Linked DNA regions of Schizosaccharomyces pombe. Changing the gene in region 3 together with the main gene of any one other region gives a genetic interaction. Each region holds a gene or a part of one and is shown on either strand. Other genes may lie near its edges.

Evidence for each region.
Region 1: mutations in ire1 (region 3) and pca1 together harm fitness less than expected from each alone (positive genetic interaction), as found in Schizosaccharomyces pombe (one large-scale study listed by BioGRID).
Region 2: mutations in ire1 (region 3) and toc1 together harm fitness more than expected from each alone (negative genetic interaction), as found in Schizosaccharomyces pombe (one large-scale study listed by BioGRID).

Annotation. Positions count from the first base shown.
Region 1 is NC_003421.2:2,258,239-2,270,454, reverse strand, and holds pca1 (metacaspase Pca1), read right to left. Parts: upstream 6,489-12,216; coding exon 6,035-6,488; exon of another isoform or gene 5,989-6,034; coding exon 5,929-5,988; exon of another isoform or gene 5,888-5,928; coding exon 5,790-5,887; exon of another isoform or gene 5,763-5,789; intron 5,744-5,762; coding exon 5,720-5,743; intron 5,680-5,719; coding exon 5,511-5,679; intron 5,472-5,510; coding exon 4,999-5,471; 3' UTR 4,798-4,998; coding exon of another isoform or gene 3,185-4,797; 3' UTR 3,150-3,184; downstream 1-3,149. Other genes in the region: F0-ATPase delta subunit atp5, read left to right, coding at 734-854, 967-1,485, 1,561-1,571; pgm2 (phosphoglucomutase), read left to right, coding at 2,535-2,585, 2,648-2,747, 3,185-4,797; karyopherin/importin beta family nuclear import signal receptor Sal3, read right to left, coding at 6,886-10,173. UniProt on the Schizosaccharomyces pombe protein: Involved in cell death (apoptosis).
Region 2 is NC_003423.3:2,397,992-2,406,934, reverse strand, and holds toc1 (Tor complex Tor2-interacting protein 1), read right to left. Parts: upstream 3,418-8,943; 5' UTR 3,355-3,417; coding exon 3,232-3,354; exon of another isoform or gene 3,190-3,231; coding exon 2,020-3,189; 3' UTR 1,603-2,019; downstream 1-1,602. Other genes in the region: DNA repair protein, SUMO-related Rad60, read right to left, coding at 1-103; rpl35A02 (60S ribosomal protein eL33), read left to right, coding at 974-1,182, 1,314-1,431; pgs1 (CDP-diacylglycerol--glycerol-3-phosphate 3-phosphatidyltransferase), read right to left, coding at 3,541-3,797, 3,894-4,660, 4,698-5,182; eIF2 alpha kinase Gcn2, read right to left, coding at 5,481-8,943. UniProt on the Schizosaccharomyces pombe protein: Component of TORC1, which regulates multiple cellular processes to control cell growth in response to environmental signals. Tor2 is essential for growth. Nutrient limitation and environmental stress signals cause inactivation of TORC1.
Region 3 is NC_003424.3:1,554,388-1,564,427, reverse strand, and holds ire1 (serine/threonine protein kinase Ppk4), read left to right. Parts: upstream 1-1,609; 5' UTR 1,610-1,693; coding exon 1,694-4,738; intron 4,739-4,788; coding exon 4,789-4,962; 3' UTR 4,963-5,045; downstream 5,046-10,040. Other genes in the region: Tf2-2 (retrotransposable element/transposon Tf2-type), read left to right, coding at 1-212; GPI-mannosyltransferase II complex subunit Pga1, read right to left, coding at 5,127-5,254, 5,301-5,421, 5,471-5,758; geranylgeranyltransferase type 2 beta subunit Ptb1, read left to right, coding at 6,107-6,160, 6,208-6,358, 6,414-6,530, 6,585-6,800, 6,839-6,972, 7,018-7,281; U4/U5/U6 small nuclear ribonucleoprotein complex subunit Snu66, read right to left, coding at 7,345-9,294; putative TIM23 translocase complex-associated motor subunit Pam17, read left to right, coding at 9,637-10,040. UniProt on the Schizosaccharomyces pombe protein: Endoplasmic reticulum (ER) membrane-resident kinase/endoribonuclease involved in unfolded protein response (UPR). Initiates the selective decay of a subset of ER-localized-mRNAs that is required to survive ER stress.

The DNA.
Region 1 (12,216 bases), on a different chromosome or scaffold from region 3:
ATGGCCCTGAATGGTATATATTTATATGTCTTTTCACTTGCTGGCTCTCGGCTTCTGAAGAAATAAGGCTTTCTCTATCTCAAGGTTTTTTAAACATTTTATCTCTTCTTTTTGAATTCCAGCATTTCCTAAGGGAAATCGTTACTAATCTTTGCACAATCTTGCCTACGGCTACCTTCTTTTTAATTACTATATGAAATCTTTTCAGTTGCTCTTAGATTTACTACTTTATGTATTAATTTAATCAATCTTAAGAAGCAGCTTTGCTAAGAACAATATCACATGAAAACCCTTAATTGAATCATTTGCCATCGTAGGTTTTGCACACACAACAATTCCTCTCATCTCCAGAAACATAGGTGATATACATTAGAATAGTAAGAATATGTAAGTCTTTAATAGGCAACTAGGCAACCTACCACATAGGCTTTTAGTGTATATTGTTTGGCAATACTGCTAATGATCAATTGCGTGTATTTCTAAAATTTGGCATTTGATTCTTATCTAATGAAAAAAAAAGAAAAACCACTTATACAACATTTCAAATTAATCTCATTTTAATAATCAACCTGTATTCAATTTAACAAATAGGCAACTTGTAGGTAACAACCTGAATAAGAAAGTATTGCAAGGAAGCACGTTGTAGCTTGTTCTTAAAGGATGACACCAAAACGGAGGTATGATCGGAGCCATTAACCAACTTCCTTAAACGTTGAGAGTGTGAAACATTACAATGAATCATATTTTTCGTCGCTCCATTCCCATCACTGCTCGATTACCTTCCTTAGGAATTCGCTCTTTAGCAACTGCAACTGCTTCTGCTCATCCCCCTGTCCAGTTGTATGGTTTAGATGGTATGTACTGTAAAAGGTGATTTTTAATTGCTACCATTTTGACTGATATCTTCATTGTCATCCAAAAGTCTGAATTTTTTGTCTTGGTAATTAACTCTTTTCTCTTATTTAGGTTCTTATGCTTCTTCTCTGTATACCGCTGCAGTAAAAGAATCCAAGTTGGACAATGTTGAGAAGGCCTTAAATAAACTGTCTGGTGTTCTTCAACAGAGACCGGAATTTGAACAATACATTTCTAGTCCTTGGTTGACTCGTGAGGATAAGAAAATATTGGTTAGTTCTTTGACGCAGATGACTGGAAATGAACCCCTTTTGAAGAATTTCTACAATGTTTTGTTAGACAATCATCGTCTTTATCTCTTAACTCGTATTCAGAAACAATTCTCTACTTTGATGCGCGCTAAAAGAGGAGAAATTGAAGTTAAAATTACTTCAGCTACTCCTCTAGATTCGAAGATCCTTTCTCGTCTCGAATCTCGGATAGCTAAATCGAAATATGGCAAGGGTAAATTACTGGTTAGCAATAAAGTTACTCCTTCTATCATCGGTGGACTAATTGTTGAAATTGGTGATAATATTCTTGATGTCAGTGTTGGTTCTCGTCTCAACAATTTGAACAAGCTCTTAAGTGGTAGGTTTTTTTATTATTTTTTAATATTTTTTCATGATTCAATTTTAATTTTTTTTACATGCTAACCATTTATAGAACCTATTTAAGGCTGTTTTAATGCAACAGCGTATCCTTCGCCAAAACCCAATCTTTATTCTCTTCTCATTCTAAACAGGCTTGAATTTCCTCTTATTCGTATTTCTCTTTCTTTGATAGGTTTTAATGAGCCATAGTACGTATTACATAGTCAATTGAAACTATGGTCATCATGTTTGCCTTACCTCCTCAATATTTCAGTTTCATTTATGTATGCTGTTATCAACTTTATGAATGCTATTTTTTCATCATCGAATAGTAGATCTTTGAAAACTTAGTTCCTGGTTATGGAAAAGGTGTGATTAAAGCCACAAATGTACTAACACTAATTTTCTTATCGTATCTCAAAGCTTGGAGTGATCCAGTACTTAAAACTTTAAACCATTCCATACTTAACCCGTTCAGTTTAGAGAAGTTGTACTTGATGGTATTGATTTTCAATCTCATCTGCATAACATAGATTGAGATTTATGAATAAACGTGTTGAATTGAAACCTGGGATATTCTATAAAAAGTTAACATCAGTTACTGTTGTTTATTAGTCAAGAGCTTCAAACCTTTTCGGTTCAATGACACATTCCGACAAGCAATTTTTAGACAAGAACGTCGCCAAGCCTAAGTGAATCCCATTGTCCGACGCCTATTAATTAAAACGATTCAGCTTGCGAATTGACGTCAGGTCTTGAATTCTTCCAATTTCTCCTTTTTGTAAGCGGTATATATCGTAATTAACTGCTGCTTTCAAATTACTAGGCTTCTTTTTGCAGCTAATGTTTTAAGAAATTCTCTAGAATAATTGGAGGTCATGAGTATAATATTATTACTACTTTTTGTTTTTGAGTCTATTTTATTAAAATCATTTTTGTAAGAAAACGGATACGAAATACCACGGCGTAAGGACGCGTTAAACGAGGTGATGAGATACGTGTATTGTGTGTGTAGCAAACAAATGGTAACAATTCCCATTTGGCAAGATGGATCCGATTTTGCAAGAATTAGTAGATGAGTGGTTCAAATTAGATCAAGTAAGTATTAGGACTATATTTACTATGGAAGTACTGTGGAACTAACAGATTGAACGCATTAGGATGAAACTACGAGGAATGAAGTTTCACAATTGATTAAGGCTGAAGATTATGCCACCCTCAAGCAAATTATGCATCCAAGGATTGGATTTGGTACATCTGGTATGTTTTTATTACAAAAGAAGAAAAAATTGAGATTGTTAAGAGATATTTCGCAAGTTGAAGTGGATTGAAAGAGAACGCTAAATAATGCCTCTTTCTTAATAAAGAATTCTCAGTGCTACAGCCGGTAGCTTAAACTACTTTATTGTGTTTTCCTTGATTAGAGTCGAAGTGATATACTTGATCATCGGTCACTTTCCTTACTGCGTATACTAATTTATTGTGATGATCATATTGGTCATATTTCAGAAAGAGTTTTTCGTTCTTCTTCTTCTTTTCTATCTGTTTTGGTCTTTTTTGCTTGGAATGTTATATAACGTGCTTGTACGAAATTGGTTTAAGTGTAATTAGATTTTCAGCTTGCGATTGTTCTCTCTATACATCTTAATGTTTTAACATTATCAAGTTCGTTTATTCATTTACTAATGTTTACAAAGGTTTGAGAGCTGAAATTGGTGCTGGCTTCGCTCGCATGAACTGTTTGACCGTGATTCAAGCCTCACAAGGCTTCGCTGAGTATTTGCTTCAAACCGTACCATCAGCTGCAAAGCTGGGTGTGGTAATTGGACACGATCATAGGCATAAGTCTAATACTTTTGCTCGACTTACTGCTGCAGTGTTCTTGCAAAAAGGATTCAAAACGTATTTCTTCGATCATCTTGTCCATACCCCTTTAGTCCCTTTTGCCGTTAAAACCCTAGGGACTGCAGCTGGTGTTATGATTACTGCTTCCCATAATCCCGCAGCTTATAACGGATACAAGGTCTATTGGGGAAACGGTTGTGCTATCATTCCTCCCCATGACAAGGGAATTGCTGCATGTATAGAAAAAAACTTAACGCCCATTACTTGGGACAAAAATTTGGTTGAAAATCATAAACTAGCAGATCGGGATTTTGCAGTTGGTCTTTTAAAAAACTATTGGTCTCAGCTCCACGAATTCCATTCCGAAAACAACTTTTCCTTGGAAATGAAATCTTTGAAATTTGTTTACACTCCTATTCATGGCGTTGGATTACCATTTGTTACTTCAGCATTACACTTATTTGGCGAACAAGGCGATATGATTTCTGTACCTCTTCAAGATTCTCCAAACCCTGACTTTCCGACTGTGAAATTTCCAAATCCAGAAGAGGAGGGGGCATTGGATTTGGCTTACGAGCAAGCTGATGCTAATGGTATTTCGTATGTCCTTGCAACTGATCCTGACGCAGATCGTTTCGCCTTTGCAGAAAAAATTAATGGTGCTTGGAGAAGATTTACCGGAGATGAAGTTGGTTGTATCCTTGCCTATTTTATATTTCAAGAATACAAAAACGTTGGAAAGCCAATTGATGATTTTTACGTTTTGTCAACTACTGTCTCTAGTGCTATGGTAAAGTCCATGGCCAAAGTAGAAGGATTCCATCATGTTGAAACACTTACTGGATTTAAGTGGTTAGGCAATAAAGCATTAGAATTGGAAAAACAAGGGAAATTTATTGGATTGGCATATGAAGAAGCTCTTGGTTATATGGTAGGTAGTATAGTTAGAGACAAAGACGGGGTTAATGCTTTGATTACGTTCCTTCATCTTTTGAAACGCCTTCAACTTCAGAATCTTTCAATTACCGAGGTTTTTGAGCAAATGTCTAAAAAATATGGTTATTACACTACGCAAAACTCATATTTCCTTTCACGCGACACTCCCAAGCTTCGTGCTTTGGTTGATGCCTTGAGACATTATGACACAAAATCGGGTTATCCGGCAACCCTTGGTAGTAAGAAAATTACAAATGTTCGCGACCTTACTACAGGTTACGACTCAAGCTCCACGGATGGTAAAGCTACTTTACCAGTTTCAAAAAGTTCAGATAACGTAACGTTTGAGCTTGAAAATGGAGAGGTAATTATGACTATTCGCACAAGTGGTACAGAGCCGAAACTTAAGTTTTATATCTGTGCTCGCGGACATTCGCTTGAAGATTCCATAAAGAATGCTACAGAAGTTAAACAGGCTATCAAATCTGAATGGTTTCATCCCCAACAGAACGGACTGGAAGAGCCATGAGTTTTCTCGCGTGTATAATTTTAATTTGAGCTCGTTTTTTAAGCAAAATTATAAATTGCAAACAAAAATATTTCAATAAAGTATTAGATATGATTTCCTGAGTTGTTGTGATTTAAATTTTATCCTTAATTGAAAATTCCTTAAATATCTGATGGAACTACAAAAATATAGAACTTCAATGATCAAGTAATGTTTAGTGTACTATAAAACCATGGCAAGATTCATGTCTAAAGGATGACTACAACTTAATTGGGGCAGTTGTGAGTATTTGTTGGAAAGTACTTGTCGAATACCTCTCAGCAACTGCAAGTAGCTAAGTTGGGGATTTTGAGTGACGACTTCACGGAAGGCGTATGATAAAGCACCAGTAGCGAATCCATTAACACTTGTATCTGCGCTTGTTTGATTATCTTTGCATCCGGATAAAGAAATAACATCAGCAGGAGAAAACTTAACTTGTCTAGAGTACTGTAGAGCGTTGTTATTAAATCCATTGGTAGCACTGGTAAATATATTTTTCACGTTGTTGATAGCTCCCATAATGTCGCCAGAGGCATAAGAAAGGCCAGCATGAAGTACATCCATACCAGATTCTTTTAACATATTTGGCTCCTTTAGAACGCCCTTGGTAGAGTACGTGAAAGGAAGATCGAGAGCTCCACCTGAATGACAAGCTATATTTTGTTAAAAATAGATTAAAATCACTGACTTACAGTCAAAGAGAGCTGTTAAACGACATCCTGCTGGTAAAGGCTTAACCATTATTTCGTGCATTTCATCATCTATAATTTGCCCGGCATATTGATGGTCCAGTGGATATATCGTTTCATCATAACCATCAACTTCGTCTCCATCAAGGTCTTTTGTTTGCCCTCCGTGGCCCTATGCATGTGAGTATGAGATGTAAAGTGATGATTCTTACACTATAGTGAAAAAATAATGCATCCTAAATAGTTAGCATTAGGAAGTAAATCCCATGACATATAACTTACATTAGGTTGGGCATCACTTACTAACCATCTCATCGCATCTAACATATTTTGACGAGTGGGAATTGCCCTTTGGTTGCTTGCCGTGTCTGTCATAATAACTAAAAAAGTTTTAGCAAGATGTTCTCGTAATCAACCATACCCATATCTTCTTGCTTGTAACCGTAGCGCTGTATCAGCAGTTGGGACATAGACATGACATCTTAAACAAGTTAATATATGTTTACTTGACCTTTCGCATTCCGTACCATTAATGCAACCTTGCAACTCATTTTGGGTATTGAGATAGTTAATTCCGATCAGCAAAGCCTTTCGCTTCCCTTGGCAAGTTGAATACTGATACTGAAAGTTTCCTCCTCCTGCTAAGTTATAAGATTGAGTCTGAGTGTTTGGCAGCTGAGGCCCACTATAATTTGGGTTGCCATAAGAATTAGCACCAGTATTCGGAGGCGGACCTGAGGGTGGGGCATAAGCATGGGAGTTTGCAGAGCTCAAACTTATATGACCAACATTCTCCATAGGGATTTGATTAGAATTGCCGTCTGTCTGAGGCCTTGTGGAAGGGGGTGGCATACGTGGAGGCTGATATTGATGTACAGTGTTATTACTTTGAGAACCATTATTTGGTGAATAATTAGGTCTAGTATATGTATTATATGGTGGATATTGCCCACCGTTATAAGGATTGGAGTTGTAGCTCATGTTGATGGGAAGTTGGATAGTGCTTAACTATGCTACTTTCAATAAAATACCAGATCTCACAGGTTATAACTAAAGCAAAATCAATTTGACTACAGTATATACATTTAAAAAAAAAATTAATTGCAAAAGATGCGAGCAATATATTATAATCATACCACACATCAAAACGTATTATACACGAAAGAGCTGCTACACGAAGAAATAATTTAATACGATGAAAAATCAAGTAATGTATAAAGCAATAAGTGAAAACCTAGCCGGCATAGTCTAAAAAGAGTGAAACAAAATCCGAAGATTGTTGATGGATTAAATAAAAACCTAACCTAACCTAAACTAACTAAAGCATTTTGAGGAACCAAAGAAAATATTGAAAGACTTAGAGTGAAAGAAATGAAATTTAAAAATGTGCAGACAAAGCTCTCTGATTATCGACACTCAAAGTGGCAATGACAGAATTAACTTGATCAGCAGGGAAACGAGCTAAGTAAACCTTCGAAGCTTCCATCAAACGTGTCAAAGTTCTTCCACGTAAAACTCCAGATGCAAATGTTTCTGCTAAAATCGTAATAATCGTTGGCATTTGTGAGGCAACGGCCACGTGATTTTGTTCCATCAATTCCGCAAGGAAAGTGTAAGCATAAGGAGCGTCATCTTCATCATGTGTTACAGGAAGTGTATTAATCCAATACGTTACAACTTTGTCAAGATCCTGAACACGTTGGCTACAAAAGCGGCAAATTTTGCATATCGCAACACAAATATTTTCTGTGGCATAAATTTGTTCTTCATCACGGGCATCAGGAAGCTCGAGCATCTTAAACAATGCGGGCAAAGCACTAGAGCAGATTTCAGCATACAACTCTCCTCCATGCTGAGCGGCTACTCCAATACCGTACGAGGCAGCTTGTCGAATTTCTGGTTCGCTACTTTGAATACCTTCAGCTAAGTAAGGCAAAAAGTGATCCTTGTAGTTCCAAGAATCGGGTCCAGTAAATTCAATTAAGTCATCCATCATGCATAGAGCCCATTGCTTAGCTACAGTGTCGTTTCCAGACAAAAAGCCATCCATGTACGGTAGTAGCCTTTCCCAAAAAGGGCAGAAAGCAGTTTTGTGAATTTTTAATACAACACTAAAAGTCTTGTTTATTTCGTTTAACAAGTTTTGATCATTTTCGACTGCAAGAATCATGTCCTCATCTTCTTCAATATCTATGTCACCATTTTTAGCCTCCTCCTCACGCTGCTGCACGCGAGAAATGAATCCTTTGAGCTGCAAATCAACGGCAGCAACGAGTGCTTCCATCGAAGAAGGACTCAGATTCAAGCCGCTGATTTCCAAACTTTGATAGAAACATTCAAAATAGTCGGCAAGCATTTCCACGCTTGGTTCATTTTGTATATGATCCAACAGCTTTCGTAAAATAGGCTCCCAAAGCTCATTGACTTTAGCTGGATCACGATTGCTAGCTAAAATCCGAGCGTTCAATAACTGAGGAATACACTTACAACAAGCAGAACGAACCCCGTCGTGAAAGAAGAACTTCAATCCTGGAAGTACAACAGATGTCAAAACTTCATTGACGTAAGGATCAAAGTCAGCTTTTAACTCAGCAGCATAGCAGACAAGCATTTCGGTGGCAGTACACTTGTCTTCTAACGTACTAGTCCTAATACCAACCTGTTGACCATGAACGGGAATGAACTCCCAACCATCTTGTTCAGAATATTTGCTTTCATCAACCTCGTCGTCTATAATTGTGAAGTCAGGTTTCGAGGTAGCAGCAACCAACAGAGGAGGCATAACTGAACTCAAAAATGGGACAAAATCGCTTCCTAAAACACGGCAAATTCTTCCCCAGGCAGAGATGAGATAACTAGCTTGAGGATCATCACTGTCAGTAATACCCATTTGAATGTTACCTAAAATTTGGATTAATTCCTGAGATACAGGAAGGAATCGTTGTTTACCAACAGCTAAGGCAATTAAAGTAGCACATTCCATAGTTTTACCGCGAAGGGTTCTAAACTCCTTGCCGTCAGCTTGTTGCAGAACATTAAACAATAACGGCATGATGGCATCAAAATATTTTTCAAATTTTTTAGCTGCAGCGTCAGCAACTGTAGCTATAGTGGTAACGGCTTGTTCCTGCACATATCGCTTAGGGCTTTGTAACAAGGTAAGAAGGCGTTGAAGGATATCATCCAAGTAAGGTTCGAGAACCTTGTTGTCGGCCTCTTCAGAGAAATTAACCATTGCAGCAGCAGCATGAGCTTGAACACGGGATTCTGGAGACTCCAAAACAGGTACCAATGCCTCGAGGATGCGAGAAGGATACTTGACTTGCATGTCAGGAGCAAAATCTGTAGACATTTGGCCTACAGCATTGCATGCAGCCCATCGAACACGGGGGTGAGGGTCAGCTAACAAAGGAAGTACCATATCTAATACACGACTAAGCTCTTTTTTCATTAATTTTTCAGCACCTTCGGCAATTGATGAGATGGCCATAAGGGCAGCATGACGTTCAGACCATTTTTGAGACGGGATCAATCTAGGAAGCCACGTGAAAGAGGGAGGAAGAATTGTTTTTCCGCCCAACTTTCTAGAAAGTCTATCCATGGCTTGTTCCGCGACAACATGGTTAGCATCACTTTCATCCTGATCCAAATCGTCCGTGTTCAACCATTCTTGAAGTTCTTCTGCCTCATCCTCAGGATCGCCAGCGACATCGGTCATTAGCAAGAGACATTGAAGTACAAGTTGATCAGTGTAGTCGGAAGATTTCCTACACATAGCAGGGGCACCCTCCGAAAAACAAACAAGCAATTCAAGAGCAGCTTGGCGAGCGGAATTATCCAGCTCCTTGTCCTTAATGATACCAAGACCAAATGCGATGACGCTCTCAAAAATAGGTTTGAATAACTTTGGGAAAACTTCGGCGATTTCAGTGATGGCCATAAGACAGTCCGCCAAATTATCAGAATCACGATCTTGTTGCAGAGGGGGAAGGATGTTCATGAGGCTAGGTAAAAGAGGAATAACCTGATCTCGAGTGGATTGTTTGCTCTCAAGAATAACGGCAGAATAGGCACGAGCGGCAGATATTCTTACACGGATACTAGGATCAGCTAAACCGGTGGTAAAGAGAGGAGTAACAGCACTATCTTGACCTGACAATAAACGAGGTAAAGAAGTGATGGTACGGAAAACTGATTCACGAAAAGACTCATCAGGAGAGTTAACAGCATTGAAGATAACGTTAATGAGTTCTGGCCATTCGCCTTGACAATCATAGATAGATCGAGCAATCTCGGCGATTGTGTCACAAAGCTTATTACGAACAGTGGGAACTGACTCCTTAACAAAGCAAGCTAGAAGTTGACTTTGCAAAGACTGTTTGGACTCATTTGAAATGCTAGAGAACACTTCCAACTCACTGTCTCCTGGTAAGGTGCGAAAGGAAATACGACGGCAAAGAACTAAACAAAAGGAGCGCACAGCTGGGTCCTCACTTTGATAAGCTAAAATCGCAAGGCCGTTTAATAATAAGTCAGCTCTTTGACTTATCCAGTCTGAGCTAAGAGACTTTTCAGCATCATTTCGGACAGTATTGTCAGGCGACGAAAGGCCTTGAACTAAATTTAAAAGAGGAGACAATACTTCAGGAGGAAATCCACTAGACATGATATTAAAAAAAAATGAGCAATCAGAGACGTGGATTTTGCAGTTTTAGAGGAAAAAGGTAAATAAACTTAAATACAACTTTCTCGTTCGGTCAGAGGCTGAGGTACCAAGAATGTTTTGGGCTGTAAAAAATGGTAATAAAGGCCGAACTTCTAGTATTAACGAGTGAAGCAAGTTTTATCTTTTATAATACCTAAATTAAGCCAGCGATACTATACAAAGTAGAAGTGCCAACTGTCTACACTAAGGGAACCCCAAGGGCAGATGGAGAAAGGAGTGTATCGACTTGTGGTGTAGTGTATTACATGAATCGCATCAAATTTTTAAAGTAATGTTGCGCATCGTTTTTTTAATTTATCGCAACAGTGATAATTTTTACCAAAAAAAAACACTATTCTTGTAAACTACGTTAACTTTACATAGTGTTCTACAAGGATTGTAAATTCGTATAAGGAAAATTTGTGATTTCGTTTTCAAATCACAAAAAAATAGAATAGTTTGGATTATGAAGTATGTTTTAAATTTGTAAGTTTTTATTTTCTTGTCTTTTTTTTTTAATTCCACATTATTGAATGAACGCATTTTACCATTCCAGCAACTTAAAATCCGTTCACATTTCGTTTTCCCATTGAATTATTGATGAGTGTGATGAACAGAAAACAAAGTGTCATGCTCATTAAGGTTTTCATATTTTTCTTATTAGACTCACAATTACATACACTAGTAGAGACAGGTATGGTGAATGAATTGCTAACATTTTGAATGCCATCATTACAAACTAGTTAGTATCAAATTATAGTCGGTATCATCCGAGGCTGCACATAACAATGTAGCGATAAAAAGTAATTTGAAATTTTAGCACATACAGGAATCAGGGATGAGTGGCAATTTAGTAATAATCGTGAATATTCCGATGTACCAGTGCAAGCTAAGTTATTGTTCGCTAAGCTTGTTTTGGAAGCGTTTATATGTAAGTATGTCTGATCTATTTTAAACAATTGCATGGATAAAGTCTCGGCCTTTTGTCTTGCATAAAGTCATATTAAATTGAAATTGGCGGGAAACCAGAATTAGGATAGAATAAGATTAGTGTAGTATAGAATTAACAAGAAAGGTATGCATAAAGAGCATTAATAGAGGTTTATTAGAAAAATAAAGCGATAAAAAGGAAATGTAGTAGAGCAAGAGAAGTAAATTCTTTTAATTTTGAAATTTCCGCCAATGTATCGTCCAACCGACGCTGCTTGTTATACTACGCAGTTTGAATGTCTAGCGATTTCCATAAATCAACTTCTTTGAAAACATTCGCTAGCATTCAGGACGAAAGGCGATGTGTAAACAATGAGGAGACTTAACTTACCACCGCTAGTCTTAACTTCACTGGATAATGTTATAGAATAATGTTGTAGAAACCGGTATAGGAAACAGTGATTTTCCCAGGGTTGCTGTTATCTCGGATTCCCGTTTTACATTGCTTTTGGCAGGGAATTACGATAGCAAACCAACTAAAATTTCCTTTCCGTCTTTAAACCGAGACGCTATAGTACAATTGATTCGTTAAGTTCCCGATGGCGGGCGATTTCATGACGAGAAAAAAAATCGGTAATTCGTAGACTAGAAGAAAGAAACCATTTTCAAATAATATCGTTCTACTAGAATCGGAACATGCAACCGAATGAATTTGTTTTTTTAAAATATTTTTAACGTTACTTCAAATGTACGGTATGGAAACGTAATTGACAATTGGCGAAATAGACGAATTCAATTTAAGAGATTTGAATACATGGAGAGATTGAATGTATAGTATCTAATTAAGGAGAATTGATGAATTTTTTAGATTTTTTAATGTGATTCCGGTTCTTCGCTATAATTGCTTGCATTCCAAAATCCCCGTAGCATCCATTTCCATCAATGGTTTTTCAATTCCCGTACACGGTTATTTTTCCACCGCTCTGCATTGCGAGTTCTGTGGCAATACCCAATGTTCTACTAGGATATTCTATTAAACCACGCTATATCAAGGAACCAGGCCTTTCCATCTTC
Region 2 (8,943 bases), on a different chromosome or scaffold from region 3:
CAGAATCTGAGGAAGAGGCTATTAATTGCTTGGCATAGTTTAATGGAGGCTTTTTAATAGGCTTTGAGAAGAATGCTAAGTCATCTTCATCTAGGTTGTCCATTTGGCGAGTTTTAGCAATTACGGTGGTTCCACAAAGCTTCTTATGGATTTAACGAGAATTTGTAGCGACACACCTTAAACTAGGTAATTTTTAGCTTAGTTTTGTTTTCACTCAAGTTTATTACAAATCGATTTTGAAAGTTATATAATAATTTTATAATTCAATTGAAAAAGTTCAATGAACATTCCTCCAACTCATCTTCGAAATGAAGTTTGTTTACTTACGCAAAACCCGATCTTGTCCACTTAGCAAACAGATTTAAGTCTATAGAATTTCATTTTTTAGGTTAAGTAATTTGAAAACTCTTTGCTTCTTGTACTGAGACATTAGGTTTGATGAATTTCAATGACATTGGCTCACCTTACGACGGCTACATTGCGTCCGTCCATTACTGCCATTCATAATTTGTTCTTCATTCGCTAAATAAATTTTATTTAGTTCAGATAAAACCAAATTGTTGTACTATTAGAGATACAATGAATAGGTTTAATCAGCCGATATTCCTATATTCAGTAGTAGACTATTCAGGTACAAGATATAATACTAAACAATAATATGTAAACAAAATCGAATATTATCAAGTTAGTCCCCGTTACTTTATATTGATCATTAGAAAAACTTTACACTATACTGTATTGGTAAGTGAGAGATAATTTTAAAAAATTGAAGAGTATCTTTTTAAGATTATATAATGAATTAAGCTATATGATCGCAATCAATAAGATTATGAAGTACGTTACACTATGCTAGATTTATGAAAGTGTTTACTACCAACACAAGCTTAGGTTTTGCAAGCACAAGAAGGGCAGTCACAGCTTAAGCAAACGGTAAGGATCACCACACTAAGAGTTCCGCCTTTACCAAGTCAAAATGCCTGCTCAGGGACACAGATTGTACGTTAAAGCTAAACATCTCTCTTTTCAAAGAAGCAAACATGTTATCCACCCAGGAACTTCTTTGGTAAAGATTGAGGGATGTGATTCTAAGGAAGAAGCCCAATTTTACCTAGGCAAGCGTATTTGCTTCGTCTACAAAAGCAACAAGCCCGTTCGTGGATCCAAGATTCGTGTCATTTGGGGGTAAGTTTATTTTTGTAATTAAATTCTTGCGTTTCTTTGGAGAATATGAAGAAACGTTAATGCTATATTTTCACGGTCGTTTTTTGTTGGCTAAACGAATACATTCAAAACCTTTACTAATTACGTTTTAGAACTGTTAGTCGTCCTCATGGAAATTCTGGTGTTGTTCGTGCTCGTTTCACCCATAATCTTCCTCCCAAGACCTTTGGTGCCTCTCTCCGTGTCATGCTTTATCCCTCCAATGTTTAAATAAAATATTTTTATGTTCACAACAATTCTTCTGCTTCTTAGATTTATTTTATTTAGGGAATCCCATTTTATCGAAAGCCTCGTTTGTTATACAAAGTAATCAATGCTTTTGGTATTATTTACTCACTAGGAATTTGTAATTGGTACATTAAAACACAATTATTAATTTAAGTTTAATCAATATTGATGTTAAATAACAAAAGCTGTAAATTTGTATAGGTAACTTTTGAGAATCGTTTCACGAAGTATCATTTCAGTCGTCTGTTCTTAGGGTGTTGATGGGCAACACTGCATCAATTACTTAGGTATTGTAAATTCACTAGTTTGGCGTCTAACCTTTAGTACTGAATACTACCTTGTTTATGCAGGTAGTTCGATCGAATACTGTCGAGCATGTTTATAATCGGCTGTCGATCATACAAATCAAAAGCAAATCAATTATTAACCCCAACTATAATTATTTAAAAATAGTATAAAATAATAGCAAAATTATTATCAACGAAACAAAATCATCAAGCATTCTTTGTGAGAAAAAAAGGAGCGCAAGAAATAGTCCTAAATTGTAAAGATAAAACACATAGACGCTATTCAATTTAAACTCTTCCAACCTTGAGCCAAAAACGACTGTTTATAAGGTCTAAAAGCTTTTGAATTGTCAAGATCATCACTTAATACATAGCCCATACTTCGGGCTTGGATACTTCGACTATGTTCGTCTGCCTTTTTCAACATTTGGATCCATCTATTTTTCCGATCGACAAACGAAGAGGGTGAGGCTTCAAAGGAGGATTCTGAGCTAAGACTTGACGAAGGAGAATGATTTGTGAATATAGGAGAAGAATCAATATTTAATGGTAAACTTCCTGAGTGAATTTCCATAGCATCCACTTTGCTAGTAAAATCTTCATTTTCCTCGTCGCTCGGAATCGTGGTTGACATTTCAAGTGAATCGCCCGATTTGTTATTATTTATGTTGTTTGTGTCAAAATCGAATTCAAGTTCTTCATCAGATCTGAAAGTTAAAGTAGATAGATTTTCTATATCGTTTAACGAATCCGAAGACGCTTCATAGTCTGGGTTGTCAAGTTTGAACTGTTTGGAATACTGCATTGGCTGGTTAAAATACTTGCCGGGCTTGTCCGAAAAGGCAACTTGATATTCATCAGTAAAAGCAACATGCTTTTTTGGCTTCGATTTTCGACGTTGAGTAGACCGACTTTCGTCGATCATGGCATGGTCAGCATCAATGGCATCACTCGACTCCTTTGGTGATGCGATATTGCTATCATATATGGTTTTCACTTCCTTCTCTAGTGATTTCTCAATTGTCGAAGCATCTTCTAACAATTTAGTTTCGTAGGCTTCATAGTTGAGTTGCTGATTACGCATAAACGCAAGTAGTGATAAACGATTTGTTGATCTCTTTGACAACAAAAGTTCTTCGACTGTACGCTTAATTTCCTTGTTTACTAGTGAAGAAAATGAAGCCCGTATTTCATCTTCCCGAGGTTCAGCTCGCGCTTTAATTATGTCCATTCGAATGCCCAATTCTGAAATAGGAAAAGATGCTCTTACAGAAGAAAGAGAAATAGCTGAATCGTATATGTAAACTTTCACGTTTTCTTCTTGAAATAATTTCTGCGGTTCCTCGGATATTTCAATATTTCCCTGCACAGCAAGAATACATAAGTTGCAGCCTCGACAAGCAACAGCTGAACAATTTTCAGCTTTGCATATTTGCAATAAACTATAAATTTTCTATTGAATTAGTTATATTTGATTTCATTAAGGTTAGCGTACAATTTTTATGAGATCACGAGGAACAAATATCCATTGATGTTTGGTTTCATTAGGAATTCCTAAAACACGTATATTGAGACATTCACAACTTATTCCATCGCCAAATGGCGATTGCAATTGCATTAAATCTACTATGAAGATTTCGTCAACGCTCGAATCGCGTTGCTCAGTGAGATCGGCGTTGGCAAGAATTAGGTACGCCGTTGTCGATGTAATATAATTGATACAGTATTGTGCTATACTACATGCTTAATAACGCCGAAAAATCTAATTCTTGATAATTTATTTATAAATTTTATTAAATTCATATTATAATTTTTTCTTCATGAGAGAAGTCAAAGCCTTCACATACATAGGAACCTTTTCTAACTGACAGGTATTCATAGGCTTTGTGTGCTGTTTAATAAGTTCAATTTCAGTAGAAAATTTTCTCTTTAATTTTTCATTCTGTGTCATTACAACTAAGGTGGATTCAAGGTCCAACTGTTGAGACCTACTCGTATAATTGGAAGACCCAATCGTCGTTAAAAAAGGATGCTTGTGATGTTGTGTACTCAACCAAAATCCTAAAATAGTGTTAGTGAATTTTTCAAAGATATATGACTTAAGTGCCGTGCTCCAAAAAATATTTATAATGGAAAACGACAGACTGTAGTGTTTACCTTTAGCATGATATGTATTCCCCTTATTTTGCCATTGTAAGACATCAATATTTCTTTTCTTCTTTCTTGAATCTTTAAGAAATTGTTCAGCAATATACTGATACGCTGGTGGAATTAATTTCGATGGTCCAGGAGATCGATAAAATCCATTAGCCTGTTGAGAAGCCACGATTACTTCCCCTATACCTTCAGATTTCAACAACTGTTTTCTAAGTGCTGGATAAACATTAAAATAGCCAGCCGTTAAGGTCCAATTAACCTCCTTGCGCGATAGCAAGGTCCCGATTATAGACAAGACCTTTTCTTCAGTAGAATGTACGTCAGAAGTAAGGATAGGTACACATTGAAAAAGTGGGTATACGATAGCAGATTCTTCATATTTATGAAATGGCTTATTGTTGTCATCACCTGCTTGATTAATTAATTCAGAGCCATATACTGATGATAACGGTTTAGAAGGGTTGCGAGACAAGAATTTCTCTCGATTCCCCTGAAGAAGTTGTTGAATTTTAGCAGAAGCTGCTACCCGAAACTCTTGAGGATTTGTTAAAGGATTTGGACATGAATTGTTCCATTTCAAAGTAAAAGGAATAACCGGGGACGTAGAAGATAGTTGAATTGAGGAATCGGATAAATGAGGGATACACTCAAAAGAAAGCTGTGAAAACAAAAAATGCGTTTTAAAGAAAAAGTCCGCTAAACCCTTATCACTAAACAAATAATACCGGTCTTTTCGATTTGTAAAGTAATCTCTCGAAAGATTGGCTCTATTCGTTAGTATAGTAAATAATCATTTGCCTTTACCCGCTGATAATGAGGTTATCATCTGCACCATATATTTTCATATGCTGCAATCCCCATCCCTCATTAAATCTGTGTGGAACCAATTGCTTTCTTAGTCCACGCAAATTCGGTGTATGGTAAAGCTTGATTTCGCATCTATCAGGAAACTTCTTTTTCAATTGCATTAATAGAGATGCAGAGCAACAACCAGGGCTTTCCCTAGTACACCGCAATTGATCTGCCAGAATGTGAACATGCAAAGAGGGATTGTTGCTTAGCGCATTTGATAGACAATTGATCAATTCTCGCTCTTCTTTTCCAATGTATAGCGTTGATAGAAATATTCTTTTTTGAGCTTTTTTGATTAATTTTTTCAAGCGTTGATAAAACTCAGGAGGTTCATGAATGATATCAATATCATCAACGTTAACATAGAATTTGGGACACACACCGTCAATCTGAGATTCCAAGTTGACAAATATGTTTTTCTCTATTCCTTCATCCATTAGGCTGTTTAAATTGGTGTGCTAGGTTAGTGTGAGATACATTGAGCTTGCAAACCCGTTCATGCAGTAGAAAGGTCAATATCCAACGGTAATTTGAACGTGAAATATAGAGAAAAATGGTATAAAAGCAGAACTTCCATGTTATATTAAAAATAAAAAGTATCAAATTGACTCTAACTTACTTAACAAAAAATAATATACCGATCACGAAATATACACATTTAAAGTAATTTATAGCAAAATTTTTTCTATTTAATTAAAAGAGTAATGAAAATTAAATGATTAATTAGTTCAAAATTTATTTAAGTCCATAAAGATAAATTTCGTTTGTCCTGAATGAGCATATCCAAACCCGCTTCTTATCTTGTTCTGCAAGGGTGACAAGTTTCTTTTGCAGTCTCTGCATATATTCCCTTTGAGAAGCTGGGCAACTTTCTATTAAACGTTTCCAAGACTCCTCATCAAGCGTAGTGGTACTACGAAGTTTTTCCATAGCTTCTGAGTCGCAATCCACTGCTAAAGCAATAGCATCTTCTGAGCTTTCACGAATGGCTGACTGCACTAGATCATAAACTTTATTCATAGCATTTTGTTTGTGTTTCCATTTATACTTTCTATCATTAACGTCTTTAAGCGAGATCAACTGTACGTCGAGGTTGGATTGAGAGGTGTCAACGAACTTTGCAACATCTTGTTGAGCTGAGTCTAATATACGTTTCGACTGTAACATGCTTTCGTTTCTTTTTCTTTCATTAATTTCTCCCAGCAACCACATCCCAACTTCATCAAAGCGTATTTCGTCATCTTCATTTTTTAAAATATTTCGAGCCTTGACTGAATGTTCCATCTGGGTATTTTTCTGACGCACGACGAGAACCCAATTAATGCCTTCACTTCGATAGTGTGTTACAATCTCTTCTAAACTGCTAGCACCCCTTAAAACTATATCCGCTTGGATATTTAAAGCCCAAAGCTCTTGCAAAAGTGAGCATTTTTCTAGGATTGAATCCTTGCCAATACTAGTAACTAAGACATCAACTCTCCTTGGTGCCCAAGGGCCTACAGACTTTAAAGTTGGTGAAGGAGAATGCTTGCTTGACTGCTTACTATTGTGAAATCGAATATATCGCAGCATTGAAAATACTAGTTTTTCAAGGGCAAAACATATTCCAACAACATGCTTTTTTCTGGCAGTTCTCATTAGAGGAGGATCGAAAAAGCGTACAAGCTTGTCATAACGACCACCAGCACAAATGAGTTCAGATTTTTCCGCCAAGTTAATTGCTTGAAACATCAAACCTCCATCGTAAAACTCAAAGTTATAAACACATAAAGGCATGAAGTATAACTGATGAGAAATTTTTAGTGCTCGAAGTAATTTAACCACTCGCTCCATATAATTTAAAGCAGTTCTCATTTTCTGTGGCATTTCCTTCCCAAAAATTTTTCTAAGTTTGCTAGCACCTTCTTCATAATTTTCCCGAAAATCAAACAAACTCAGATCGTCTAAGGTGGTAGAGGGAACTAATGACTCAATACGAAGCTGGTTCCGTACCTGTGATAATGTTAAGCGTTGGTTGATTTGTCCAAGTATATGAGTAGCCATGCGTCTTTTATCCTTTGATACTTGTAAATAATCAAGAATGGAGGAAAGAATGTCAGCGTGATTAATTAAGATACAACTTTCTGTCAAGGATGGTATCTCTGTTAATACTTCGTCTAATGCTTTGATTGTTTCTGCATCATACCAATCCAAATTATCAGAATTCGTGGTAATGTCAAATGAAATTTCCTTTATAGCCTTTGGTCTCCCTCCACCTTTGGCTTCCCGAAAAACGTCAGAAATTAAGTACGTCTTTTCTTCTTCCACAGCGTTTCTAGCAACATTTCTCGCGTAAGGAAGAACCGTATCATATGGAAGCTGTAAAAGGGTACCATTTTTATCTAGTAGGGAAACAGAAGCTTGGTCTTTATCGTATTGAGAAGACTTTGGGAATAGAATATGTGACTCACGTTCCTTGGCTCCATGGCGACGAAATACTTTAACTACATGATCACGTACTAAACAAGCTAACAAACTATCCCATCCTCTATCCGACACTTTCGACAACACTCCACTTTCTTCACTAAGGTTGAAGTCGTAAGTAAAGTCTTTATGACGATCGGGCACTTGGCCGAATAAAACTTTCAGAAGCTTTAAATAATAAGGAGTATTAGGGTTGGACAAAAGACGAAGGCCTTCTTGAATAAACTCTTCACCAACTTTTGGAGGTATGGCTTCACTTTCAAGGAGTTCTTGGCTCGATGGTCTTTTTGTGGGATCGTGTTGTAGAAGACAATGAATGACTTTGAACTCATGGCTAGCACGGGAAAAAGGAAAAGTGGAAGGGAACGATATAGATGGAGATCTAATAGTATCAATTATCCGAATTCTTTCCATAGAAGTAGAAAAAGTCATGCACATTTCGAAGAGTATAATACCCAAGCTATACATATCAACCTTTGCATCGTAGCGTACCCCATTACGCCTACTGAGAAGTTCAGGAGCTACGTACAAAGCTGTACCGACACCTGTTGTGAGATCTTCATCTGCTGATTGGCGATTTTTCCATTTGTCATTGTTATCTTGGTAATTTTCATTTTCTGTAGCCAAGCCAAAATCACCAAGCTTTACATTTCTATTTTCGTCTAAAAAAATATTTCCAGGCTTAAGATCTCTGTGCATCATTCCCCGACTGTGAATATATGCCAAAGCTTCTAAAATTTGTCTAAACAACCGCCACATTTCATCCACAGGAATTTTATCTCGTATGATATCTTGCAATGACAACTTTTCACAATATTCCATTTGTATGTAGAGCGTAGCATTCAAACCATTTTCTTGTGTTTTAACTGAAGAAGCTTCTTCAATGCTGCTGTCTTTATCGGAAGAACCTTCTTTATCTGAAGTATTAGAATACTGAAAGGAGATGTCAGAAGCTTCAGGGTCTTCCTCGTCTGCAGATGAATTATAATCATCTTCAAAGTGAATATCGAGGCTAGAAAGCTTATCGGCTGGAAGACTTGAAGATTGCCGAAAGTCCACTGCCATATTTAAAGATTGACTCAACGACTCACTATCGGAGCTAATTATCTCAGTTACAGTATCATTAGCTTCAGTTTCAACCCAAGCAGTATAATAACGCACTACATGTTCATGATGTAAACGAGACAAAGTCATAACTTCACGTAAAATTCTGCTATTCTCTTTATCATCGCTCAAAAGGACAAGCTTTTTAACCGCATAAAACCTTCCATCAATTCGATTTTTGACTTTAACTACTTCACCAAAACCGCCACGTCCTAAAAATTCAAGTTCTTCAAAATCTGTTTCATAACGTGAAACGCTTTTCCTGTACAACAAATCAATAATTCCATCCTGTTGACCACCATAAGAAGGGCGTGCAGATTTTGAAAAGGTACCCTGCTCAACTGGAGGAAGAACTGCTGTACCCAAACGAATGACATGACTACTTAACAAGTCAATGGCGCTAGGGCGTTTCCTTGAATCGCGCATTAAACAGCGACGAACCAAATCTTGATAAGACCCCGGAAGAAGAGGAATTACATGAGTCATAATCAGTTTTAGTGAAGAGAATTTATTCAAAACGTGAGCTCCACAAAGCATCTGCAATACTAATAGTCCAAAACACCAGATGTCAGTTTTTCTCGATGCAGCTGCAAATGATGACTCAGAAACCTCTGGGGGATACAGCCCTTCC
Region 3 (10,040 bases):
ATTACGCTACCATTGATGAGTCTGATATTGGAACAATTCTTCATATCCTAGAACATAAAAACAGAGAACAAGTACTCTACTTAAATGTCAAGTACATTTCGAATCTAAATCCGAGTACTATTATGTCAGGATGGACTACATTAGCTACAGCGCTACAAGCGGACAAAGCAATTGTCAATGATTATATTAAAAACAATAATCTAAATATCTGAGAACATATGACTTATCCTCAGATTTACATAGAAAATCTTAGGGAGGGCAATGTCAGCAATACTACACTACGCTATAATACACTACGTTGCGTATCACTATATGTCACATGTTCTAATTATATATCGTACCATGTATGATACGATATGGAGATTGATCTTAATGATAATCTATTAAGATCTATATTATCTGAATACTATAAATAGAGCTACTGCTGAACCTCGTTCCTCAGTTCAGTTATGAGCTATATTAGTGATAGGTAACATTATAACCCAGTTAATACAATACCTATACTCAGTTGCTACTTATACAACCTGTGTATTGTAATATAATAGATCACAAGGAAAACTCACCGCAGTTCTACGTATCCTTAAATCAGATACCAAACTGCGTAGCTTACAATATTAATGCTGATATTCGTGTATATTGCAGACTTTAAACTCATTAGCTTATGGATTTACAAAACCTGCATACATTTTGTTTAAATTATCAAAGCAGAATATCTCTGGAAATTAACTTTAAGACAACCTTTTAAACAATACAAGGTATTTGAAGAACTAATTTGGCATTGAACAACCAATCTTCATATCTGCTAGGGGAATTTAGTGAATTTAAGATAAAAAAAGCCTACAGCACCCCGGATTCCCATGTTGTCTCCAACCATAGTACTAACGAAGCCCTCAGACGCTTAACTGCAGTGATCGGACGGGAACTGGTGTTTTCGCCTAGGTATGGCCGTAGACAGTATGTTTGTAAAGTAAAATTATTTGAATATATATGCTTTTTTTGCCTATGGATGACTATACCCAAAGCAAATAAGAGGTCTAAGCATTGGTACACTAATTTTTTTTAGAAGTATATATGCCTCTAACTTCTAGCAGATTTCCAATTCTTGATTTCTAATGTCAGCATGCAGAATATATATTTTTTATATTGATAGTGTTTCGGTTTAATTAACACGGTTTAACAGGTTTATTAACATGCGATGTAATAATACATTAACTTTTACTACTAATACAATAAGTTTTAATCAATAGGTTATGTCTTCTGATAATGCATACTTTGTACTAAAGGAAAACAACGAATCCGCGTTCCACCAGATTTATTTCAGCATTCTTTTAATGAAATAGTAAATCTCATATGCACAAACTATTAGAACGAACGAAAACTAATTTTGCAGTGAATGTGTTACAACAACTGTTCCATTTAATAATGTTAGGCTACTCTACTTCTAAACACCTTGGATAAAGTAGAACTTAAACTTTTAATGAGTTTTCCCATTTTTTGGCACCAATTACATACTCAAAGGTAAAGCTGGTGTTTTTTATTGTAATATTCATGCATTAGCCATACTTAACGCAGTAGACTTATAAAACCTATTGAGCAAATCTGTTTACCTACTACCTACTTCAAATGTATCGTCTTTAATGAATTTTTTAGTTAAGTTGCTCTTAAAAAATATTTTTGTTAAAAACTTTTACCAATGAAGAGTTTGAAAGGGCGTCTGTTATTTTTAAGAAAATTCGTCTTTTTTTCGTTGTTGATTCTTCTATTTGCTCATGGGGCTTCTTCTTCCTCTTCTTCGTTTAATTATTTTGATAAAAGAACCAATGGTAAAGCAAACAATGAATTAGCTCTTTTTTCACCTACTGCTGATTCACCTTCCTCTGTGGATGGCGTATTAGAATTGCCATCGGCAGAGAATGTCTTCGCAGAATCTAGTCTTTATAATGCCTTCATAGTTGCTACTGTTGATGGATCATTGCATTCTTATGATCGAATTACCGGCCAAGAACTTTGGTCGCTCTTCACAAACGCTAATCCAGGTCTCTCATACACAAAAGATGAAAATTCGCTTCTGTCAAGTAAATTTTTAAGTCAATCAAATTTTAAATCTTATAATAGTACTCATGGGGAATTTTACAGTGATTCTACTTTAAACATCAGTTACTTATCTGACGACGATACAGTTTGGTTTGTAGAACCTATCGATGGCGGAATATTGTACGCTTTTAATTTACAAACTGGCTTAGTCAGACTTCCTCATTCAATAAAGGACCTCGTTCATGCATCACCAATCCGTCTGCTAAACAACAATGTATTTGTTGGTAGCAAAAACACTACGTTATTCACTATTGATGTTTCAAACGGGGATATTGTCTCTCAATACCCTTCAGGCCATAGATATGAAACACATCACTCTGTGCATAATTTAGGTACAAAAAGAGATTCTGTACCTTCTGGCGCAGACTCTGATTTATCATTTAAGGACCCTTCTGGTAAAAAATTGTCTGAAAGTTTGGACTTGCTTGATGATTTCAATTACCAGGTTACTGTTTCAAATAAATCGTTTGTTGATATTGCTAGAACGGAATATTTCATAACAATATATTCTGATTCCAATGTCATACTTGATTTGGTTTACATCGATTGGACACCAACTAAAAACGAAATAATGTATGAATCTTTTCATTCATCATCTTTTGATTCGAAACTTGCGCTTTCATCATATGACAGTTCGTTGCACATTGTTGATACCCATTCCAAGTTCATAAAACAGAACATCCCTTTGATGTCTCCTGCTGCCACAGTGTTTGATATCGTAACTTTACCTCACAACAAGAAGATAGACAAATCTCAAACACCTGCGAAATTTCCGACTTCTGTTCTGCTTCGACAACCGATTGACACATACCTAGAAACGATGTTTCCTCAAATTGCAAGAAACAAAACTGAACACGTATACATAAATCATATAGGTAATGCATGGTTTGCGATGTCGGAACGTCATTATCCTTTGGTATCACTTGCTCCGGAAGCTTCCTTCCTTTATTACAATGGATTTTATATTCCACTGAATAGTATTTTTGGACTTCATTCCCTAATGGCAACCCCTAAGCCTTTTTTTGCTTTGCCAGGACTTCCTGGTTATGATATTCCTTCTTACGTGGAATCTGAAGGCTCAACAAAAACATTACCTTCAATTGGAAAAAAACCTATTCCTTTACTAGATCCAAATCCTATTTCCTCTACGCCTATTTCTATCACATTTTGGGTTATAATGTTCCTAAGTGTGTCTTTTACAATTGTTACCTTCTTTTCCATTCTTAGGATTCGCTCTTCTGAAGTCAGACCGTTAAAATCTCAGAAAAATACGGTTTCTATCAATAATAAAATTGATACTTCAAAACGCCGGCGTAAAGGCAAACGAAGAAAGAGAGTTAGCGATGAGCATTCGGCTTCTTCTAACTTCAACGAGATAGAAAGCCAGGCGTCTTTTGAACAAAATCAAACATTGGATATCTTGAGTGAAAATATTGTTGAAATTCAAGACAAATCAACTGATCCTTTACAAAAAAGTCTCGATAGCAGCCTAAAAAGTCATCTTCCTGAGGCAACTGTAATCCAAAACACTGATGGTTCAGTGACTGTAAACTCATTGACTGTTTATCCTGAAGTAATTGGTTATGGTAGTCATGGTACAATTGTTTATCGTGGTGTTTATGAAGATAGGGAGGTAGCTGTCAAGAGAGTTTTAATGGAGTTTTATGACTTAGCATCAAGAGAAATAACACTTTTACAGCAGAGTGATAATCATCCTAATATCGTTCGTTATTATTGCAAACAAAAAAGTGACCAATTCCTTTACATTGTCATCGAATTATGTAAATGCAACCTATCTGATTTAATCGAAAAACCAATTGCTTATGATGACCTATTCAAATCGATTGATCTAGTTTCATTGCTATATCAAATAGCTTTTGGGGTTTCTCATTTACATAGTTTGGATTTAGTTCATCGTGATTTAAAGCCACAAAATATTTTACTTGTTGTTAATAATTCGCCAAATCTTTCCAAAACTCGAGTCAGGGCTCTTATTTCCGATTTTGGATTGAGCAAGAAGTTAGATTTTAATCAAAGCAGTCTTCGTAATACCACTTTTGAGGCAGCCGGTTCTTATGGTTGGAGATCTCCGGAAATTTTAAGTGGTTCCCTGTCTCAACAATCGAAAGAAATACAAGTGAAAACTCGTGAAGGTAGAATCCGACAAGCTTCCCACGCTACTGATATTTTTGCCCTCGGTTGTATTTTTTATTATACGTTAACTGGTGGGATGCACCCGTTTGGTTCCCATTATGATTGTGAGGGCAACATTCTTAAAGGAAATTATTGTTTGGTACATTTGCAATCATTAGGAGAGTGTGGTGTGTTGGCCGCTGATTTGATTGAGGATATGATTGCATTTGAGCCAAGCAAGCGTCCTACAATCGAAGTGGTTTTGAATCATCCGTTATTTTGGGACTATGCCAAAAAGCTTGATTTTTTAATTGATGTTTCTGATCGATTCGAAGTTGAAGAAAGAGATCCACCTTCTCCGTTACTTCAAATGCTTGAAAACAATTCGAAATCTGTGATTGGAGAAAACTGGACAACTTGTTTACACTCGTCCCTAGTTGATAACCTTGGTAAATATCGGAAGTACGATGGTTCCAAAATTCTCGACATTCTTCGGGTATTAAGAAATAAGGTATTAATTTAATGGATGATTATTTTACTTTTACTAACTTCCTTTTTTAGAGACACCATTATCAAGACTTACCGGAGTCTGTGCGTCGTGTACTCGGCGATTTACCAGACGGATTCACAAGTTATTTTGTTGAAAAATTTCCAATGCTTTTATTGCATTGTTATCATTTGGTTAAAGATGTCCTGTACGAGGAAAGTCAATTTAAACGTTATCTAGAGTATTGACGTTTACATACTAAATTCTTAAAGTCATTTTATATGTAATTTAATCCTTATTTATTATGAAATACATTCATTTATAATTCACCTTCTTCTCTTTTTGGTATAAACAAGATATCGTTCATCTAATACTCGTATTAAGTCCAGATTCATATTCATAAATATCAATGCTAGTCTCGTTTATGTTTAATAAATAAGTTTGTCATGCAAATCAATGCAATTAAGATTATAACAAAAACAAATCCGACAATTGGTAAAACGCTTTTGGGTAAAAACCCAAGCAGCAATGGTTCTACAACTAAATAAGGTTAATATAATTTTTTCTTAAACTCTATAAAACATACCTAGCCGTAAAGGAACTAATGGTGGTCTTTTCATCAGACTTTCATTATGAGAATAAAACGAGGCATTGATTTCCACAATAATATGAGTTATATTGTAATTCAAAATTATGTCTGAAGGATACTAGTAAATTTATTGTTAAGACCTTGAATAAATTGTCATTAATGCTTACCACAGCTGGCCAAGAAGCCCTTATTTGGTATTTCTGAAGCGGTTTTAAGCCACACACAGAAAATGTGTATTTTGATTGTTGTGGAGCACCAGCCGCTTGTGGGATCGTTGGATTTGGCTTCAACAATAGAGGAATTGAAGAGTTGTTAGACAACTCAATATCACAAACAGAGTTCGAGGTCAACAGTTTATTAGAATCTCCAGTTTCTACGTTAATAATCTCCGTATTTGCTATTGCAAATGAGGGCAAGAAGAAAAGAAGTACGAATATAAGCCTGAACTCTCGCATTCGGAAAAACACAGGTCAAAGCAATTCCAAGTATTTGGTTCTTAGTCAGAGATGAAACCTTATGGATTTATTAATTATTATCTCTGTTTAATATAAAGGATGGAATGGTTATTCCAATAATTCATTACCGATTGGATGTCAAGGAAGAACTAGTTGGTTAATGTGCTATTCCACCACATTCGTAAATGGAAGTAATACATTACAGCACAAGCATTCTATATATCTAAAGCTGTTATTTAATTTCAAAAAGAGGAAGGATCGTGAACTGTCAGATCTTACTGATCATTACACTCAGTTTTCAACCATTGCATAACGAACCGTCTACCTGTTCATACAATTGCTCAAAACATGGCAGTTTTACTGAGAGATAAGCACATAAGTTACTTACACGATATTGGAAATGTAAGCGAAAAGAAAATAGTTTAATAATTCAATTTTCTTACAAACAGCGAACTGATGAGCTGGATTTCTGGTTGAAGGAGCATTTACACGTCAGCGCAATATATTGGAGTTGCATGAGCTTCTGGCTATTGAAGAAGAAAGATCAAATTGACAAAGAACGTATTGTATCGTTTCTGTTGTCTTGTTTGACAGAAAGCGGTTAGTTATATTACTGATACTGAAATATTGATACGGGCTGCTAACAATGAGTTAGGCGGATTTGCTTGTTATCCAGGACACGATGATCACATTACGAATACAGTATACGCTGTACAAGTTTTAGCAATGTTGGACTCTTTGCATGTCGTTGACAAAGATAAAGTTGCTTCTTGTAAGTTTCTTTGTATTTGTACATGCGATCCTTAACTAATTTATAAATAATTAGACATTATTGGCCTACAGAACGAAGATGGTTCTATGAAAGGAGACCGCTGGGGAGAGATAGACGCTAGATTTCTATATTCTGGAATAAATTGTCTGGCAATACTAGGTAAATTGGACTATCTTAATAAAAATACTGCCGTGGATTGGTTAATGAAATGCTATAATTTTGATGGTGGGTTTGGACTCTGTCCTGGAGCTGAGTCACATGGAGCGATGGGTATGTTTAATTTCAAAACCCAATTATTGACCTAATAGTTTTTACCTGTGTTGCCGCTCTCAAAATTCTCAACAAGTTAGATTTAATTGATGAAGAATTATTGGGTTGGTGGATTAGTGAACGGCAAGTTAAAGGAGGTGGATTAAATGGTCGCCCTGAAAAGTTACCTGATGTACGAAGATTGCTCTTTGTCTAGCATGTTTACTAATAGTTCTAGTCCTGTTACGGTTGGTGGGATCTCTCACCGTTAGCAATTATTGGAAAATTAGATTGGATAGACCGTAATCAGCTTATTGATTTTCTTCTAGGTACACAAGATGCAGACAGCGGAGGGTTTGCAGACCGAAAAGAGGATGCCACAGACGTTTATCACACATGTTTTTCTCTTGCAGGATTATCACTATTACAGTTTCCAAACATAGAACCCGTTGACCCTCGTTTTTGTCTGCCTTTAGAAGTCACTCAAAAAATGAAATTATAAATGATGCATTATTACTACCACATAACCATAAATTAAAAAAATAAAAACATAAAATATGTACTTTCAGAAAATTGGCTTGCGTTCTTCTCGTTCCTTTTCAACGATACGACGCAAACGCTTTTCTGTTTTAGCTTTACCTGAACCTTTTCCATGAAATTGATGAGACAACAAATATTTGTATGCTTCTTTGGGACCAAGTTCCACACCAAACTCGTCAACATACTTTATGTCCACCTGAGGTTTATAATCATGAAATTGTTCAAGCTCTATCTCCGCAATTTTTTTATCCCATCTTTCATTTTCTTTTTTTGCATACTGTTCACGTTCCTTCTGAGTCATTTTTTCAAATTTCCCGCTGAGACGATCTTGTTCTTTTTTCTTTCTACGTTGCTCCTCCAGTTCAACTCTGGCTTGCTGTTTTCTGGCAAACCATTTATTGTACTCTTCTTCTTTTTGTATTTTCTCTTTCGCTTCATCCGACACTTTAATTACGCCTTTATTCCGGAGAAGGCTTAGAACTGCACCAACATTGTCAGAGACAAGTGGCTCATCTTCTGCATTCTCCTGCTGCGTATTGGCTTCTTCGAGAGTTGCAGAAATATCAACCGAGGTGTCTTCCACTAAAGCATTACTTTCTTCAGTTGGAGAACTTCCAGTAATACTATTGGTATCGTTCAAATCTTTGGAATCTTCAAATGCTTGTTCATTTATGGAACCAAGAGCTTCTCGATTTTCAGTTTCCTTTATGCTATTAACAAAAGCACGCGTATCATCAAATATTAAACCGGAAGCCGTGTCCGAGTCCGTCATATCTGTGACTTCTTCGGCATTCTGCAATTGCTCAGCTACATCTTCTGGCTTAAGTATTTTCGCTCTTTTTTGAGCTAGCCTCCTCTGCATTGCAATTGACTGTTGCAAATCATCATCATCAGCAAACGACTGTGTTTCTAATTCGCGCATACGCTTTTGAATCTTCATTTTCTTTTGTTCTTTGAAAATAGCCGAATCTTGCTCAACTGACAGATCACTGTTACTCTGACCATTCGGTAGCACGAAATCAGATGGGTCATTTTCATTTTCATTTTCTGCATCAAGTTCTACTAGACGCTTTCTCCGATCAGACTTTGACTTTTTCTTTTTTGACTTCTTAATCTTTATTTGTCGATAATCTGATTGTTCGCTGCCAGTGATAGTTGGTTCAACGAAAGAGACAAGAGTCCCAAAAGTTTTTTTATTATCAGATTTATGTTTTTCTATAGTAGAATTAACAGTGAGACTATTTTGTGGACCAATGGTCGTAAAAGTATCTTCAGACGGTTGATCTGCTTCCGACTGTTGAAGAAAATCATTCTCATCTTCATACGGTTTGTAGGGGTTATCTTCCTTCCTTTCGTTTTTAGTCTTCCGCTGGACCATTTCAACATTTTCTAATAGATCATGATTATCTTCGTCTAATATATCAGCATCTTTCAATGTAAGGACTAGACCATCGTTCTTGTTTAAATCTTGAAAACCGTGTGCTATTTTCATTCCTTCTAATGAGCTATTCACATTGGGACCAGCATTTTGCGAATGTAGAGTGGATCTTCTGGGGGCGTCATTCTTCGCTTCAAAATTCAATCCATTGCCATTTTTATTCAATGAGGAATTACGCATTTTGAGTATCCACGCTCGAGTATCGTTAGCATCGATTTGATCATCCTCTTCTGCCAATGTTTCAGCGAGTGTTTTTCCTTGCGTTCTGCGTCTTCGTTCATTCTTTTGCCGTAATTTTTCAAATTTGCTTTTCAGTTCTTCTTCTTTCTTCCTATTTATTTCCTCCTGCTCTTGTTTCTTCCAATTTTCATAGGCCTGTTGTTCTTGATCGACATACGAAGACTTGACTGAAGCATCTGAAAGTTCTTTCTGAGGTTTTTCTTCTGAAATATCTAAGGGTTTGAGGCCTAGCGAAATTCTAATTCTATTGGTCTCCTCAATAGAAATCGATTCAGAGGCGCCTGAATTCCCAGACATTATACTAAATCCAACAGCAAGTGACAGACTTTCAAATGCTGATAAATAAATAATAATATGGATTTTTAATAAAAAAATACACTAAACTTGCAACTGACTCAAGGATATGAATAAAATAGGAGAATGGCGAAATACACGAACCGTAATATTGTTTCAAATAATTTACTTAAACTCTCATTTATATCTCACTAAGCTATTTTAGCGTACTTTCAAAAAAAGTTGCGTTTCCTAGTATGCGTCCGCGCTTGCTAAGGAATAATAAACAAAATACGTTAAAAAGAGAAGAGCAATTGAGGCGATACGTATATGAAGTATACATTTTCCAACAAGCAAGGATTCGTTATGATACCTATTATACGGCCTGGTCTAGTTGTAAAAAGATTACAAAGTCCCAAAATATTTTTAACTTTATGGAAAACTTGTTATAATGTAAAAACTTATTCCACTGAGTCTATAAAACAGAAGAAACCTCAAGATTTAAATTGGCCCACATTCCTGAAATTAAGAAAAAGCAGAAGGATTTTTGAAACCTTAACTTCTATTCCTACTGCACTTACCGGACTAGGATTAGGATCCGCCTATTTTCTTACGCGTACTGTTGACCCTACCATGACTATTATGGGTCTTGATCTATTTACTCTATATGTTATTGGAACTATTGCATCCGGAGGGCTTGGATGGCTTTTGGGCCCTAGTATAGGTAGAAAAATATGGACACTGCTTCATAAAAGTCAAGCGAGACAAAT